2 linked regions of the Callithrix jacchus genome follow. The protein of the gene in region 1 purifies or fractionates together with the protein of each later gene. This does not show direct contact. Links are inferred from orthologs where the notes say so. Each region holds a gene or a part of one and is shown in the gene's direction. Other genes may lie near its edges.

Region 1 (6,165 bases):
TGCAATAAAGATAGAGGCTTCCTATTTATACACATATTGTAGCTTTGATTATAGCTTTTGATTATTTAGCATATCAAGTTTTAAGATATAAATTCAACAAACAAAATGTTTTCGAATAAAGACTATAATTGAGCTACAATATATTTTGATTATTAAACCAGTGCCCTTAAGAAAACTAATTACAAAAATGATACTTGCTGCTGATATGAAAATGAACAAAGAAAAGAAAGGTCATAAAATAAAACAAATTGAAGATTAAAGTTTTTTTCATCTCTTTTTAGGTGATTTCCTGACCTTAATAAATTCCCTAAAGTGGCTTTCTTAAAAATCTTAACCTCTTGCTTCGTAAACTATGTATGTAAGAATTTTCCCTTAGTTAATGAAACTTTTTATTTAAATTTCCTTTTATGAAATGAACCACAGCTTAAAGCAGGTAAGATCTTGAAGACATCTTAGGTCTTGGCCTAGAGAGAAAGTTGAGCACATTGGCCTGTGCCCAGCCTTGGAGGCAGATACCCATAGCTAGGTTCAAATCCTGCTCTGTTACCTACAAGCCATGTGACCTCGACTTGTTCCTTAACTTACATTGCTTGTTGTCTATAAAGTGGACATAATAATACTATTTTCCTCCCATGATTTTGAGGATTAAGTGAAATGATGAATGTAAAACAGTACAAGACACATGGTAATAAGACTTTAGTACGTATACACAGTTTGTGGACTAATGTCTAATGGTTTCGATCGGCTAGGTAATAGCACGTATTGTGTGTGATCACCATCTGATACCGAAACTTCAACTGTAAGAAGTTTTCAAACCACTTTTTACACACAGTTTCTCATGCTGTACCACAGCTTTCTTCCAAGAAGGCAGGCCGGTGATTAGATGCCTGTTTCCACCAAAGTGTAAGTCTAAGCTGAAGACTTGTCCAGGATAGGGCAGCCCTTTGGGGCTGAGACCTATAATAGAAACTGCGTATTGTAAGTTTTCGGTTCAGCTCTGTTTCCTATACTATACTGCACCCAAGATGGAAATGGAAACTTTGGGATTTTGGGGAAGTGTATGTGTTGATATTAGCGCCTAAGCTGTGTTAAGGAAAATAATACATATTTAATTACACAAAATGTCAGTCAGAATATGAGCTCCACTGGGGCAGGAACTACAGTTTATTTTTCTGCTCTCTCCAACCCTCTGGGTAGGTATCCAGTACATATTTAAGTGGATATAGTTTTGAAATATTTTCTGAATTGTTTCTGCAGCTTTGCATAATTGTCAAAGCAGGAAATGCAGATTGGTCTTCTCCAGTGCTTTAGCTTGTATGTGTATGTAAATATATTTTCTTTTATGTTTAGACCATCACAGCTGCCTGGAGCTCAAGTGTTAAACTGTGAATTATGAATGTTAAGCCTCTTTCACATGATAGGAGTCAAAATATGTAATAGTTTCACCTTCTAGGTATTGTTTAAGTGTTCTTAGCCAAAAACTCACTTTGTTTCCCCTGCTCTGACACCACAACAGTCAACACAGAAAACTTCTGTGACCAAATATGTATGTGACTTTCCTCATAGACTAAGCAGGGGACACCAACTGGGTGTCCTCTAATTCACTTCAATTCTTATGCTGCCTTCCTGGAGATGTAGCTGAAACGCAGTTCAGTTTGGTCACGGCTGGTAGAGTCAAATTAGCAAGTGCAAGGTCTGGTATAAAGAAAGTGACTTTTTATTCCAAAGCTAGCTTGGAGGAATAAGCACAGGCTTCTTGTCTAAAGGGGTATGGCTTTGCTCTTGGAGCAGAAAGTGGGCACTTTTAAAGCGGAGCACTGGCATGAGTGGCACACAGGGGAGGAAACAAGCAGGTGGTTACTTTCTTACTTTCTGCCTTCTTTACCAGGCAGTCCATTTGATTTCTTCTGGGCAGAACTAGGTTGTAAAGCTGGTGGAAATTCTCCAGGTGGGAGAGTTTCGTAGTGGGCATACTTTGGGTTGTAAATTGACTGCTGTCCCCCGAGACAGTACCCTGGTGGGGGAAAGTTCTGCTCTAGAGCTTCTAAGCACATAGTTAGATGAACTTGCCCTATAGGGAGTGTCTGGTGAAGGAAGAATAAAAGGTTATAATTGCATTTCTAAATAGCTAACTAGAAAGTGGGGAAGGAGTGGCGGGGAACGGAGGAAAGAGAAAAGTAAGAAAAAAATAATTGAAAAAATACTTTTTTAAAAGAAATACAGGGGTACTCAGTTGCAGAGATAGCCTCAGATCCCACAGATTGAGGACTCCGTCCCACAAGACTGCCCCTCTCCCTCAGACACCAGTTGCAAGTCTGGGCCTCTGGAACTTCTGACTGACCAGCTTCAAGTTGAGGTTCCTATGACCCTCTCTTTGGGTTTAATTTGCTACAGCAGCTCACTGAACTTGGGGAAACATGTACTAAATGTTTACTGGTTTATTATGAAGGATACAGATGAAGAGATGCATAGAGCAAGGTATGGGAAGGGGCACAGAGCTTTCATGCCCTCTCTGGGTGCACCATGACTCTCCAGGAGCCTGCAGGTGTTCAGCTGTGAGGAAGCTCCCTCAACCCTGTCCTTTTGTTTTTTTAATAGAGGCTTCATTACATAGGCATGGTTGATTACATCACTGGCCATTGGTGATCGACTCAACATTTAGCCCCTCCTATCTCTGGAGGTTGGGGTGTTGTGACGTTTGGTCATGCCTTGGTCTTTCTCATGACCAGCCCCAATCCTGAGGTTGCCTAGGGTCTGCCAGCCATCAGTCTCATTAACATACAGAAAGACACACATTGGAGATCCCAAGGATTTTAGTTGTTGAATGCCTGGAAGCAGGGATGAAGACCAAATACATATTTCACAGTATCAGAGGAAAGGTGCATTAAACAATTATGATTTCAAGTAAGAAATCTAATTCCACATGACAAGTTGGTGGATTATCTGACATTTCTACTGAAATGGGCCTTTTAAACTTCTTAAATCTGTTTTTACTTTTAGTACAAATCAAAGAATTTTCAAAAGGAGAACATCTGTCCATCTACTCCCTTAAAAATGTTTTTAGTATTTAAAAAAATATTTCCCAAAGAAGAAAAATGTGTATATGTGGACATGAAATTGATCACTAGTATTTTCAGCTTTTCTTGTTAATTAGGCATTCCAAGAGCAGAAAACTGTTCTCAGGTATTACAGCATTTCTGTTAAGATTATTTGAGTCACTTTAGCATTCCCTTTTATTCTTTCCCAGGTTCTGAAAGACCATGCCTCATCCATACCTAACGAAGAGTCCTGGCCTGTAGTAGGCCAGTTTTCAAGCATTGGCTCTTTGGGAGCTGATGAATCAAAGTGGTTATGTTCTGAGTTTAAAGAGAGCATGCTGGCACTGGGGAAGGAAAGCAAGACTCCAGGAAAAAGCTCTGTTCCTCTTTACTTGGTAAGTGCTCGTCCTCGTTGTGGTAATTTATTCTCTACACAGGAGAAGAATTGAAAATTGATCCACTTTGTAGTGAAGAGATGTTTTATTTTGTGATTCTTTTTTGTGGGATTATGGAGGTGTGGAAAGAGTGGTACATTAGCATCATCATTTGTAATCAAATTGCTTCAATACCATCCAATGCCAAGAGCTTGCTGATTTGTTCAGGAGCTCCATTACTGACACATATTGGCCTGTGATTTTTCTATCCTTCCTTTCAGGTTGTTGAGCCAAGGAAGAAAATATTTGATGTAGCATAGCCAGCAGAATTATGAGCATTTTAATTATTTAGAGACCTGTGAATTAATAATTAATTTTTCATTCAATGTTAACTTCACATTGCAAGGAAAAAATATTCAAATTGAATTATAACTTTTCATCAAATATCTGTTGTTTAATTACTAGTTTATTTTTTATAAGATGAAAACAGTTTAAAATTTAAAGGATATTTTCAAATTTAAAAGTATTTTTAACTGAGATTTTCATTTTCTTAAAAGCTGATTGTCATTCTTTTTCTTCAACATGATATATTCCAAGTTGTATTGTTTTTCTTTTATTTTTAGATCTATCCTTCTGTGGAAAATGTGCGCACCAGTTTAGAAGGATATCCTGGTAATTCTTTGGGAGACTGTCTCAGTTGTGTTTTATGTATATTTCATGAATGTCCTGGTAAACTTTTACTAGTATTGGTTAGAAATTTGGAGATGGTTTTCACTTAACTATATAAGGATCACAGAAATAGGTAGTATCAAGCTCTGTGTTCCATAGATGATACCTCTCAGTTTGGGTGTGGTGTTCATCCTCACAGAAATCCTCTACACACTGGTTCTCATTTTTACCAGTAAGGTAACCAGCAGGTTGTCCAGACAAGATAGTCAAGTAAAACCAGCTTCCCTTTTCAGAGCTTAGCTAACATACCTTCCTCTCATCTCTCTCCACTTCCTGTGTTTGAGGTACCACGTGGTCTTTTTAAATGCCTGATACATATATATCTAGGGTCTGAAATTTTTAAATTTTTACCTTTGATATAACTTTGTTGATGTGTCTGTTCTTTCAAGGGCTTCATCTGCAAATGCCTAAGATTTTTTGTAGGTATTTTATGTGAGCCTTGTTCTTCACTTCCCTTACACCCATACCAGGTGCTAAACCTTTATTTGGAATTCAGCAGCACCGTAGATAGTGTAATCAGGAGGTATTAACTGAAAACCCAAATAGTGGTTGCCTCTAGAAAAAGCAAAGTGTAATTGGCATTTGCTGATGGCTGAAAGCAGAGTGTACCGAATTAGACTAATTTATTTCATTTATTGCTTATCAGGCTGGAAAAGAAACATCTGCCAGAAAAATCTCGATAGCGTTTGGGATGTATTTGCCAATTTTTTTGCTTTTGAATGGCAAAACCAAAATTACTTACTTCACCAAGACCCTGTGATAAAGTAAAAATGACCACCCTCTGATACGGTGGTCATTTTTCTTTGGTCCTCTTTTTGTGTCTCTAATAGGCTAGATTCATTCGAAGTGTACTTTTAATGGGGAACAACATGGTATTTTTAACAAAGATGTTTTATAACTGGCTTTCAAATGGAATCTTTTTAGTTATTTGCAATTGAAGACAGGACATTCCCTATTTGATATGTCAGCGATGTTTGGATATAGATCTCTTTGGATATAGATCACTGTGAAGTTCCAGCATGTGTTTGGAAAGTCACTGATGAATCCACAATGGAGTTTTTGTCCTTTTCAAGACGAGCAAGCATTGACTTCAGTTGCATTTCCACTTGGAACTTTCTTTGTTCTCTTTGCAAGAATAAGGCTTTTAGAATTCCTTTTTCAAATTGAACTGTTTACTGAATTTTAATTTGTTTTTTAGCCATTATTTTCTGTGTGTCAGAATCTGTTCAGCCAGTACAAAGTATACTGGTAAACATTTATCATACCTAAGGAAGGAAACCCATTAAGAGAACATACCTAATGCAAGTATAGACATTTTCTTTCAAATAACTATTCCATAAGATAAAGTAATGGAAGTAGTTTTTTCCTGTTAACCTTCTTGCTGTTTATTATAGACTTTCCTCTTAGTGAAGGATTCTAAAATTCTATTTCATAATTTTTATTGTTTTATTTTTCTTTTAAAAGCTGGGGGCTCTCTTCCCTATAGCATCCAGACAGCTGAAAAACAGAATTGGCTGCATTCCTATTTTCAGTAAGTAATTGGTTTAGACTGCTGCTATTGCTTCTTTAGGAATTAGAATGTTATTTATGTCACTTTTTTTTTTTTAAGGAACTTTATGTAATATAGCTATATTCTTTCATCTACATATGTTGGTGATGGAAATAATTTAAAACAAGGTTTTGAAAATTTTTTTTTTGGATAGGTTTTTAATACCAAAGAGGAAAATTTATTGCTGTGAGGTTTCTATTTAAATATTGGCATGCCAAGAAAGACAAATAAAAGATCATATTGGGTAGTTTAGAATTTACATAAGCAGCATTTTAGTCCATTTTTCCAAAATATAAAGTATGATTATTCTGTCTATACCATCACGTGTGGCTGCAAGCTTGGTGAGGGCAGATCCTATGCTGTTGTCTCCTGAGGATACAGGACAGTATCTGGCATGTTGTCAGAGTTCAGTAAATGCTAAGTGGACAAGTGAAAGGAATGTCCTTCACCCTGCATATGCTAGGCCAGTCTGTTT
Region 2 (5,417 bases), on another chromosome or scaffold:
TTAGGGCAAATTAAATAATCTCTGTGCCGTAGTTTCCTTACCTGTGAAATGGGGCTGAAACTAGCACCTACCTCAGGATTCAGTGACTCAGTAGAATAGTACCTGACATGTAGGAAGTCCCATGTAGGTGTCAACCTGCTGCTGTTTTTATTTTTTAATTTTTTGAGATGGAGTTTTGCTCTTGTTGCGCAGGCTGGAGTGGGCTAGAGTGGTCTCAGCAAACTGCAACCTCCCAGGTCTCCCCGGTTCAAAGGATTCTCCTGCCTCAGCCTCCCAAGTAGCTGGGATTACAGGTGTCTGACGCCACGTCCGGCTAATTTTTGTATTTTTATTTTAGATAAGGCCAGGCACAGTGGCTCATGCATGTAATCCCAGCACTTTGGGAGGCTGTGACGGGCAGATCACCTGAGGTCAGGATTTCAAGACCATCCTGGTCAGCATGGTGAAGCCCCATCTCTACTAAAAATACACACACACACAAAAATTAGCTGAGCATGGTGGCGTGTACCTGTAGTCCTAGCTACTTGGGAGGCTGAGGCAGGAGAATCACTTGAACATGGGAGGCAGAGGTTGCAGCGAGCGGAGATTGTGCCACTGCACTCCAACCTGGGTGACAGAGCGAGACTCCCTATCAAAAAAATAAACAACACATAGAGACAGGGTTTCACCATGTTGGCCAGGCCGGTCTTGAACTCCTGACCTCAAGGGATCCACCCACCTCAGCCTCCCAAAGTGCTGGGATTACAGGCGTGAGCCACTGAGCTTGGCTACTTGCCGCTGTTGTTAGAGCTAGAAAAATTCTTTTCCTGGAGTGTTAGTGGCTTAAGGAACCATGATTATAGTGTTGGCGTCTCTAAAATGTATTTGCTTTGAGATTTTCCCCTTAAATGGCAGGTATTCTCCTAATGAGAAATTGACTTTGCATTCCTTTCTGAATTGAGACATTTCTTCCCCAAGAGGGAGGGGAATACTGCCCAGGCAGTGGCTCACACTTGTAATCTCAGCACTTTGGGAGGCCGAGGTGGGCAGATAACTTGAAGTCAGGAGTTTGACACCAGCCTGGGTAACATTGTGAAACCCTGTCTGTACCTAAAAAAACAAACAAACAAAAAATAAATAAAATTACCCAGGCATGGTGGCACATGCCTGTAATCCCAGTTACTGGGGAGACTGAGGCAGAAGAATTGCTTGACCCCAGGAAGTGGAGGTTGCAGTGAGCCAAGATCACGCCACTGCACTCTAGCTTGGGTGACAGAGTGAGATCCTGTCTCAAAGGAAAAAGAAAAAAGACAATAATGTCATGTGATTGGCTGGGTGCAGTGGCTCACGCCTGTAATCCCAGCACTTTGGGAGGCCGAGGTGGGCAGATCACAAGGTCAAGAGATCGAGACCATCCTGGCCAACTTGGTGAAACCCCATCTCTACTAAAAATACAAAAAAAATTAGCCAGGTGTGGTGGCATGTGCCTGTGGTCCCAGCTACTCAGGAGGCTGAGGCGGAAGAATCACTTGAACCCAGGAGGCGGAGGTTGCAGTGAGCCGAGCTTGCGCCACTGCACTCCAACCTGGCAACAGAGCAAGACTCCATCTCAAAAAAAAAAAAAAAAGAAAGAAAAGAAAAGAAAGAATGTCATGTGATGCAGGTGCAACTCAATCCCTGTTAATAAAAACCAATATAGGTATAGGCATTTTACCCTTTGAAATAGCTGTGTCTCAACCTGTTGCCATTGATTTTTTGGAAATGGCTTTAGAAATTTCCAGGTTGTCCTTGAATTGTCTAACCATGGACATAAACAGCTGTCTCCCTTCTGCTGTGTAGAATACTTTGACTTAATTTTCTTCCAGATACAGGGGGATACCTGCCTGTTTTTCAAAGTGTTTATTTACTGCTGTTACTATTTGATTAGAATGTATTAAATTAAAAAAAAAAACAACCCTGATTTCTACAAAAAAAGAAAAAAAAGATGGAGTGGGGAAGCAAGGAGGTGCCCAGGTCTGCAGGGCAAGTGGCCAGGCTGAGTGGGTTCACTGGGCCTTCCTGAGCTGGGAAGGGGCGGGCTGGGAACAAGACCATGAAGCCCATCAGAGTGTGTATTTAGTAAATGCCATCGACTGTTGCTTTCTGAACATCCATCTTCCCCACTTCCCTTGGGCCTGTTTATCTGAGGCCCGTTTCCTCCCCTAGGTACCTCATGGCAGGGCCAGACTCAAGCAGTGAGGACGATGAGGCCTCTCACAGCGGTGGCAGTGGTGATGAAGCCCCTAAGCTTCCTCGAAAGGTTTGATGCCCCCTCTCCAGTGGGGGAGGGTGTAGTGGGAGGATGACATGGTTCTGCTGTGGCACCCCAAACTTCGTATTCCTGCCTCTTGCAGGTACCGCCCCATCACACCCACACTGTTCCTGCCCTCCTCACCCACCCACTCTCCCTCCTCAGCCTCCCCAGACCAAAACCAAGCCCACTCAGGCAGCTGGACCCAGCTCACCCCAGAAGCCCCCAACCCCAGAAGAGACCAAAGCAGCCTCACCAGTGCCCCAGGAAGATAGAGACATTGAGGGGGAACAGTCAGGTCAGACTCTGAGGGAGAAGGGGCTGGGGCCTGGACTCCTGAGTCTGAGAGAGGAGGGGCTGGGGCCTGGGTTCTGAGTCTGAGGGAGGAGGAGCTGGGGCCTGGACTCCTGGGTCTGAGGGAGGAGGGTCTGGGGACCTGGACTCCTGGGTCTGAGGGAGGAAGGGCTGGGGACATAGATCCTGGGGTCTGAGGGAGGAGAGGCTGGGGACATAGATCCTGGGGTCTGAGGGAGGAGGGGCTGGGGTTTGGACTCCTGCATCTGAAGGAGGAGGGGGTGGGGCCTAGACTTCTGGGTCTGAGGGAGTAGGGAGTGGGGCCTGGACTCTTGGGTTGAAGGAGGAGGGTCTGGGTTCTGGACTCCTAAGTCTGAGGGAGGAGGGGCTGGGGCCTGGATGACTGGATCTGGAGGGCAGTTGCAGCTGGGGGCATGAGATGCCTGGGTCTGTGCCATACCCATGCCAGGGAGGGCTGCTGGTCTTCCCAGGAGACAAGGCAGCCTTGCATTGATTGAGCTTCTCCTTGCAGAAGGACAGGACAACGGGGCAGAAGATTCTGGGGACACAGAAGATGAGCTGAGGAGGTAGGGCTGGGGCTGGGGTTTAGGGTGCCTGGCCTTGGGTGTAGGAGAGCTGCCCTGCATGCTCACTCTCTACCCCTCTTGGCACCCCCAGGGTGGCTGAGCAGAAGGAACACAGACTGCCCCCTGGCCAGGAGGAGAATGGGGAAGACCCATATGCAGGCTCCACAGATGAGAACACCGACGACGAGGAACACCAGGAGACTCCTGATCTGCCAGTCCCGGAGCTCCCAGGTGGGAAATCTCCCATCCCTCCCAAAGTGGAATTTTCCCTTCTCAATTCGAAGCTGCTACTTGCCCTGGCCAGCCCTGGGGTCACTGCTGCCCCATGTCTTGTCTCCCCTCTCCTTCTCCAACCCACTCCCTGCCTTAGCACCTCCAGGTTCTGCCAGGTTCCCTTCCCTTCAGCATCCTCTCCATGACTTGCCTTCTTCTTCCCTCCAGATTTCTTGTTCTGACTACTCCCCTTGCAGCCATGTACCAGGTGTGACCCCCCTTTTTTTCGCTTCACCCTCCCACTAGTGCTTCACTTGCCTGGGTGCAGTTCTTTTGGTCCAGAGTGAGGCCGGGTACACCAGGTGACAGGGGCACTGCCCTCCGTCAGGCCCTGGGTAGATGCACACCAGTGTTCGCTGTAACATCAGCCATCACCCTGGACATGGCTGCTGTTATGTGTGTTTGCATTTCCAGTGTAAAAGAATAAGAACAAAAGGAACCGAGGAAATTCTGCAGGGAGTTGTGGGATGGGGCCAGGGAGGCAGAGCTTCTTTGAGAATGAAGGGAGCGAGGAAAGGCAGTGAAGGAGGAAAAGAAGGGGCTGTGTAGTGGTGCAGTTCAGGGGCTACCGGAAGAGCCGTTTCCACACAGTTCCTCGAGAGTGATGGGCAGGAAGATGCTTTGATTCTCCAAAACCCCTAAAATGGCATCAGCAAATTGATGGCCTAGAATGTCACCTTCAAATGGAAGGAAGGAGGAGCCACTCCAAAGGTCAGAGCAAGAAAGGTGCTGGTTGGAAAGGAGAGCAAAGGTGAAGAAGTAGCAGATACTGATGTTTCCAACCTGGGTTAAGCTCATTAAGTGGCTCCAGCCAGGCCAGGTGCAGTGACTCACCCAGTACTTTGAGAGGCCAAGGTGGGAGGATTGCTTGAATCCAAGAGTTCAACACCAGCCTGGGCAACATAGCAAGATCCCCTGGCTTTTTTTTTTTTTTTTTTGAGACAGAGTTTTGTTCTTATTACCCAGGCTGGAGTGCAATGGCATGATCTCGGCTCACAGCAACCTCTGCCTCCAGGGTTCAAGTGATTCTCCTGCCTTAGTCTCCCAAGTAGCTAGATTACAGGCATGTACCACCATGTCTGGCTAATTTTGTATTTTTAGTAGATACAGAGTTTCTCCATATTGGTCAGGCTGGTCTTGAACTCCCGACCTCAGGTGATCTGCCTGCCTTGGCCTCCCAAAGTTCTGGGATTACAGGGGTGAGCCACTGCACCCCGCCTTGACTTTAGGTCTTTACAATTTTAAAAATTAGCAGAGCATGGTGGTGTGCGCCTGTAGTCCTGGCTGCTCAGGAGGCTGAGGTGGGAGAATTGCTTGAGCCCAAGAGTTTGAGACCAGCCTGAGCAACATGTCAGTACCCCGTCTCTCTACAAAAAGTTTAAAAATTAGCTGGGTGTGGTTGCCACAAGCCTGTAGTCCCAGCTACTGGGGAGGCTGAGATGGGAGAATCACTTGAGCCCAGGAGGCAGAGGTTGCAGTGAGCCATGATTGCTCCACTGCACTCCAGGCTGGGCGACAGAGTAAGCCTTTGTCTTAAAAAAAAAAAAAAAACAACATGAGAAATAAGTAGCTCCAGCCTGTCTGTCAGAAACAAATCACAGCTGGGCGTGGTGGCTCATGCCTATAATCCAAGCACTTTGGAGGCCAAGGCGGGTGGATTACCTGAGGTCGGGAGTTCAAGACCAGCGTGACCAACATGGTGAAACCCCATCTTTAAAAAAAAAAAAAAGAAACAAATCACAGTAATAGTCATTGTATCTTATACTGTTAAAGCAAGCAAACCAACCAACCAACCTACCTCCCTGGAAGGCTCTGATGGGCTGCTGGGCAGGGGGCCCACTGCCTGCGATCAGTCCCCACCCACATGTGGACAGCCCTTTCCTCAGTGGCTGGGTCAGCCTCATCACTCCTGTCCGGTGCCTGGGAACTCCTGGGGCTTCACGATGACCTTAGCCCTCTTCTCTCCTGCAGATTTCTTCCAGGGCAAGCATTTC

What was found.
Region 2: the proteins of TDP1 (region 1) and XRCC1 purify together in Homo sapiens (affinity purification with mass spectrometry; 4 studies listed by BioGRID and IntAct, with this or other methods). This does not show direct contact. The link is inferred for Callithrix jacchus from reciprocal best matches to the Homo sapiens genes TDP1 and XRCC1.

Annotation. Positions count from the first base shown.
Region 1 is NC_133509.1:124,881,242-124,887,406, forward strand, and holds part of TDP1 (tyrosyl-DNA phosphodiesterase 1), read left to right. Parts: intron 1-3,247; coding exon 3,248-3,433; intron 3,434-4,035; coding exon 4,036-4,084; intron 4,085-5,605; coding exon 5,606-5,672; intron 5,673-6,165. UniProt on the Homo sapiens protein: DNA repair enzyme that can remove a variety of covalent adducts from DNA through hydrolysis of a 3'-phosphodiester bond, giving rise to DNA with a free 3' phosphate.
Region 2 is NC_133523.1:38,032,420-38,037,836, reverse strand, and holds part of XRCC1 (DNA repair protein XRCC1), read left to right. Parts: intron 1-2,184; coding exon 2,185-2,278; intron 2,279-2,372; exon of another isoform or gene 2,373-2,434; coding exon 2,435-2,567; intron 2,568-3,095; coding exon 3,096-3,150; intron 3,151-3,241; coding exon 3,242-3,381; intron 3,382-5,394; coding exon 5,395-5,417. UniProt on the Homo sapiens protein: Scaffold protein involved in DNA single-strand break repair by mediating the assembly of DNA break repair protein complexes. Negatively regulates ADP-ribosyltransferase activity of PARP1 during base-excision repair in order to prevent excessive PARP1 activity.